Linked DNA regions of Xenopus tropicalis. Each later gene encodes a partner of the first gene's protein in a complex. Links are inferred from orthologs where the notes say so. Each region holds a gene or a part of one and is shown in the gene's direction. Other genes may lie near its edges.

Region 1 (2,511 bases):
CCCCATTTTCCTTTTTTTTTTAAAAAAAAAAAAATCTTCATCTGAAATGCACATACCCCCTGCCTCGTATTAATGTTCTAAATTGGTTTATTTGATAAGGCTGGTCTGTCTGGCCATGATATTCCATTAAAATTCTTTGCTGTCAAGTTGTAAAGGTAGGTGGACCTTTCACACATCTGGCAATTTAAATATGGTATTGCATGCTTTGGCATCTGGATTACTATAGGCTCTGAGGATCATTAACTACCAATCCTACATTTACTATTATCAGTATTACAATTGCTTTTTAAATTACTGAAATGTGTGCCTTTGCCCTAATGGGGTAACCCAGTGTCTTTTTACATAATAACACTGAAAGGATTTGTGTGGTATAAGACTGGGAGTGAAATAATAAGAGAGCTGCTCTTCAAATACCCCTTTGGCCTGTCTACAAAACCATTATGACTGCTAAAGTGATACTGACACGAAAAAAAAACTTTTTAAAATATAAATCTACATAAAAAGTTGCCTATAGGTCGTGTTGATCATTTTTTACTGATAGGGCTGCTTTTGTAAGTAATTGTTACTTGAAATCCCAAAACCTGACTGTTTTGCCAGCCTGACTGTCCCTTCTCAGCCTGTCAGTTATAGCTTCTAATGCTAACGGCCTCCTGCTGGACAAATATGGCCGCCCCCTCATAGAGGAACATGGGGGATCAGATAGGGAATGTAAAAGCTTGGACAAATACTTTTATGGCAAAATTATAAATAGCATGCAAAGACAATGTTATGACAGATGTAAAAATAATTTCATTTCTGGTGTCAGTATCTCTTAACAAATACTTCCTGTTTTGGCATATCTTTCATAAACAGTTTGGAGGATTGCGACTCTAATTACCAACCAACTAATCACATTAAGAATCTATTGGGAAAGAAATAGGCTCCCAACAGATTTTAATGACTGATTCTAGGCATCAAGGCTACCATTTATAGATGACCTGGTTAAAGCTAAATGACAAGGTGTAACCCATACACCGTATTTTTTTTTTCCATACCTACTAATATTGCTGCATTTTAAAAATAATAATACTAATCCTAAGGTTGTGTTATTCCTTTCTTCCAGATGACATGTCTTTAGGTTTGGGTCGCCTGAAAAACCTTGCACTAGGACTTCAGACAGAAATCGATGACCAGGATGAGATGCTTGGGCGCCTAACTGGCAAAGTAGATAAGATGGACTTAAACATCAAGACTACAGACAAGCGGATTCGCGAAGAGCTATAAAAGACAAATTTCAGACTTGACCAAGACCGACTCTTGAGTTTTATTCTTGTGGTTTTTATAATGTTATGCAGTTTTTTTTTTTTTTGTTTTTTTTTATACTGGGACATAAATATCCCACACATCCCTATCTGAATCTTATATCTTCTGTATAACTATACATTACATTCGTTAGCATTAAATGTAGATGATGTTTTGCAGTATTATTACTAATATAGATCCTTATTAAGATATAAAAATGAATTGTCTTACTATTGGAATTGTATTGTAGTGATTGGCAGTTTGTTATAGCTCTGGATCTGAATAAAGTATTTGAGTTCATTTGCTAGGTATTACCTTACTGCTATATGACAGAATAGACATATGAACATGCCTTTATTAAAACTGCAATATTTTACACATGCTCGTAACATAGGGTTTAATGGGCCCTGCCATATGCCACTTTCTTATTACCCTTATTATTTTAATCTAGTGTTCTGAAACTTTGTGTATAAATATGTTTATAAATTTATGTGACACTCCCGTAAACCATACTGTGAATATTTTATCAGTTTACTTGTTAAGTTAAAAAAAAAAGCCTAATAATCTTGCCTGTTATTATTTTAACTAACTTGTTTAATATATTATTTGCTTTCTGATTTTGTGCCATTTGTCTTCTTTAGACAAATTTGAGTCTGTAGACTTGTTTCTCTGCCTGACATTTCAGATAATTTATTCATACTCCCTTATACTTATTAAATGTTTTGGACATAGTAATCCTTATTTCCCCTTTTGTATTATTAGCACACTTGGGCATATTTTAAAGCTGTGTAAAATATTACATGAGCAATAACACCATGCACCCTTGTAACTATCAATTACAAAGTTGTAATCATAATCAAAACGGGGCACATGTGCTTCAGATAAAATCAGTGGTAAAGAATTTATAGCAGCTGTTGAAGGCAAATGTGCCTAGCTTTTTAGTAGCTGTACATTAACATATATACTGTATATCTTTAAGCAGTACAAGCTATGATAACATCTGAGCCTGTGTTTCACTGTCAAATGCATATATGTTTGAGGGCGTGTTTAAAAAGGCCACTTTGCATACTAGACTGAGAAGTAGCACAATAATCTTGTACAGCAGCATTTTTACCTAGACATAATATATTGATAAATATAAAAGATTATTTGGCTACTTGATGCAGGGTTGCATGTCCTATATCATTGCTATATTTAACTAATTTTTATAATTGTTTTCATCATAAACAA
Region 2 (3,834 bases), on another chromosome or scaffold:
GTGTTGTGCCTGAGGCATAGGCCATTTAGGCTAATGGCATGTGTCTTATTCTTCCCAGCATAGCTTTGCTATGGAGCAGTGATCCCCAACCAGTGGCTCAGGAGAAACATCTTGCTCCCAGTAACCCTAAATCAGGGGCTTATTTTTAAATTTCTGGCTTGGGGCAAGTTTTGGTTGGGTAAAGAACAGGTGTACTGCCAAACAGAGCCTCCTGTAGGCTGACAGTCCACATAGGGGCTACCAAATAACCAATCACAGTCCTTATTTGGCACTACCGGGTACATTTTCCATTCTTGTGTTGCTCCCCAAATCTTTTTACATTTGAATGTGGCTCAGGGGTAAAAAAGGTTGGGGATCCCTGTTGTTATAGAGTGTATGACGTCTGTGGTGCTAGCGCTTCTGTGCGTCTTTGGGCCCAAAAATTCTGTGTACTAATGTTGTCATGCATTTCTCAAAGAAGTGAATTGGAGGTGGCAGAATCTTCTTCTTACCTGGTAGAGAATTTTTCATGTGCCACCAGCCTAAATGGCAGCGCTAGAATTGTTTAGTTGCAAACTATAATGATATGTTGGAGCAACAAAGTCTGCCGTGGTGGATAAAGGACAAAGAAATAAAGGCGTTCTGTTTTGATGAGGTCACAGTAAATAGCATTGGCATTAGCAATGCATTAGCATCTGAGCTATGGAAGGTTTGGTATGTGTGGCGAAGGTTTGAGGATATATCTCATGGGAAATACCGGCCATGCAGTGATCAGGAAGTCACAGCGGTTTGTGGGGTTGGATGCTCGGAGCTCTTGGCAGGGAGTTGTTACAGCACACCAAGCCAATTTAAAGGGCTGATTCACCTTAAAGTTTTATTTATACTTACATATTTAATTTGGATTGAAAAAAAAACAATGGTCCTTTAAGTTTATTGGGACTGGGGAGCGTATACACCAAAAACCAAGTTGTGTTTAAAAAAAATTCTGCGTGTTTTTTAATTTAAAAAATCTGTATTTTTTGCCAATATAAAAACAAATTTTCATTGAACTTACCCTCACTTGCTTTATAAACAGGGCAGTTTGTTTAGATCTTCCTAACTACTTTTGAGCAAACAAATCCTTCCCTTCTCTAAGCAGCAGCCTTTAAAACAGCTTATTATGCAGGGCTTTTCAGTGGGCTGGTAATTAGTTTTATCAACTCCTTTTGAAGTTCATTGGGATCAGAAAGCCTCAGGAAGTGCCAAAGTGAAGCTGGCTTCCTATTCTTGTTTTGTGCCAGAAATGGCCCCCGGGCTCCTGTCCCGTTTTAAGCAAATGCTTACTGCACATACGTGTGTTAGAATCAGTGGAGTCAGTGGAGATAGTGTGTATGCTGAGTGAGCGTTAAGCAGGCTTTAGGCCAGTCTGTAAGCATGTGTATTGGTGTCACTTCCAGGATGAAACATTTTCGCCATAGTGCTTGATGTAATTCAGAGTTCCCCTTCTCAGCATTGACATTATGTGCACATACTTTAACAAAAAAGAAAATCCCATCCACGGTCATCCAAATGTCTTAGCTTCTTTACTTCTTTCTGTTCAGCTACAGTTAAAAATCCAATCTACCGGTCACAGAACCCGGCGCCAAAAAAACTATTGCTCTGTGAGGTTAAACTAGTATTGTTATACAATTGTTATTGTTACTTTATAACTTATCATTCTGTTCTGGCCCTCTCCAATTTATTTTACGCTCTTTTATTCAAGCCACTGTCTGGTTGCTAGGGTAAATTAGGCCCTAGCAAGCAGGTAGCGGCTAAAATGCTAAAGTGGAGAGGCTGCAGAATATAAAGCTTAGTTTAATGTTAAGGGCTCTGGCACACGGGGAGATTAGTCGCCCACGACAAATCTCCTGTGTCTCGGGTGACTAATCTCCCCGAAATGCCATCCCACCGGCGAAAATGTAAATCGCCGCTGGGATGGCATACGCGGCGGCGCGATTTAATCGCGCAAGTTTCCTCTCGAGGCAACTTGCGCGATTTCACTGAAATCGTGCCGCTGCGTTTGCCATCCCACTGGCGATTTACATTTTTGCCGGTGGGATGGCAATCCGGGGAGATTAGTCGCCCGCGAACAGGGAGTTTTGTCGCGGGCGACTAATCTCCCCGTGTGCCAGAGCCCTAAAGGAGAAAGAAAGGTAAAAACTTAATCAGGATTTTTAAAGAAACCTTTATCAGAAAGGTCTACGTAAATACAGCCATATCACTTATAGTAATGCTGCTCTGAGTCCTCTATCAAAAGAAACACAGGTGGGCATATCGGGGAAAGAAACAAGCGGATCTTATGTCTGGCCAGCTTCTTGCAGGGTATCCCATTTCTGTGGAATTGTATGGCTGACCTTAACCATACATGTGCCACAGCTCTTACAGCATTATAGGGAAAACAAATTCTACTGATTATTTTTTGCCTATTAACTGTAAAAGAGTGGCAGCATGTGTGATTCTGTATCCTGGGTCTTTGCAGATTTCTGCCCCTATTTCATTATTGATTACTTTGGCAGGATATGGGAGGGGCAAATGCCCCAGCGGCCCCTGAACGCGTGAGGGATCTCCAGAGTCAGGTGGACGACGTAAAGGGAATCATGTCCCAAAATGTGGAGCGAATTCTGGCACGGGGAGAGAATCTGGATCATCTAAGGAACAAAACAGAAGACCTGGAAGCTAGCGTAAGTGCCCATAGCCATAGGCATCCCATCTAAATCCCTCTCCAGCCCCATCTTAGTTCTCCACTACCTACACTGTTATTCTGCCCATCATCCTTCTCTGTACTCGCTCTATCACTGCCTCACCTTGTTTTGTCTGTTCCTTTCACCCAGTCTGAACACTTCAAGACCACTTCCCAGAAGGTTGCCCGCAAGTACTGGTGGAAAAACGCAAAGATGATTGCCATAATCTGCGTGGTGGTTGGAATTATTGTACTCCTCATCATCCTCCTCGCCACTGGAGTCATCCCCACATAAAGATTGTCACTCGCCAACCAGGCTGCTCTGCCAATGAGGACTCATGATTACCTTTCACTTACTCCTGCCTGATGAGCTCTCCTCAAGCCAATGGAGAGAGGCCAATCAGACTTGTGTTGTTATACTTTGGATGCCTCTGATTGGCTACATTCATTTTCTCCTTATGTGTTGGCCTGTTTCAGGTCACACCTAGATCCAGTGGGGTCTGCATACCAAATGAGTGTATATTTTCTTCCTACACATAAAGGTTTGATTCTCAATATGGCAAATAAAAATATCTAGGTATATTATTTCATTCCTACTTGCAGCCCATTTCCCACTTTGTTTCCGGTGATATGTTTTTGGTTAAGTTCTTGTACTCATTGTACACCATTACCATTGTACACCATTACCGTTATGGACTAGATAAAAGTGTAATATCTACCACTTCTACACTTTCACCAATTATTTTTTTTTAAACCCATGCATGTTTTGCATTCTTGCCTTTATTCATTAGTTTAAGCCCCAAATGATACATTGCTGCCACCCAGTGTATAATCTGATATGGGAATCCTGCTCATTCACTGGTGTACACATTGTTGATCAACCCCTCTCGGCTACTTAGAGTTGCTTCTGTTTGAATTTGTTTGCAGAAATTTCTGGGAAATCTGAATTAACAGTTTATCTATAATGCCACTGTAGGGGACATGTCTCTTTTGTATATAAGGGTAGATTGTATCTAACTAGCTATAATATGCATTCTCTTATTATCAGTTGGGTTCTAGAGTCTTAATATGTTGTTATTATTACTTGCTCGTAGTAGTCATTTGAGGCTCGGTAAATTCTTTTTCCGTACATTGGAATCTTTCCTAAATAACTTGGG

Evidence for each region.
Region 2: the proteins of snap29 (region 1) and vamp8 are in contact, whole or in part, in a crystal structure (PDB 4WY4), measured with the Homo sapiens proteins. The link is inferred for Xenopus tropicalis from reciprocal best matches to the Homo sapiens genes SNAP29 and VAMP8. Residues at the interface, in NP_004773.1 of Homo sapiens: Leu206, Leu209, Ser210, Leu213, Leu216, Lys217, Ala220, Leu221, Met223, Gln224, Ile227, Glu228, Gln230, Asp231, Leu234, Leu237, Thr238, Val241, Asp242, Leu244, Asp245, Ile248, Lys249, Thr251, Glu252, Val255, Arg256, Leu258; in NP_003752.2 of Homo sapiens: Leu16, Glu19, Val20, Val23, Ile26, Met27, Gln29, Asn30, Arg33, Ile34, Arg37, Asn40, Leu41, Leu44, Lys47, Thr48, Asp50, Leu51, Thr54, Ser55, His57, Phe58, Thr61, Ser62, Val65, Lys68, Phe69.

The regions. Positions count from the first base shown.
Region 1 is NC_030677.2:153,633,151-153,635,661, reverse strand, and holds the end of snap29 (synaptosomal-associated protein 29), read left to right. Parts: intron 1-1,102; coding exon 1,103-1,263; 3' UTR 1,264-1,898; downstream 1,899-2,511. UniProt on the Homo sapiens protein: SNAREs, soluble N-ethylmaleimide-sensitive factor-attachment protein receptors, are essential proteins for fusion of cellular membranes.
Region 2 is NC_030679.2:125,658,268-125,662,101, forward strand, and holds the end of vamp8 (vesicle-associated membrane protein 8), read left to right. Parts: intron 1-2,513; coding exon 2,514-2,678; intron 2,679-2,828; coding exon 2,829-2,972; 3' UTR 2,973-3,391; downstream 3,392-3,834. UniProt on the Homo sapiens protein: SNAREs, soluble N-ethylmaleimide-sensitive factor-attachment protein receptors, are essential proteins for fusion of cellular membranes.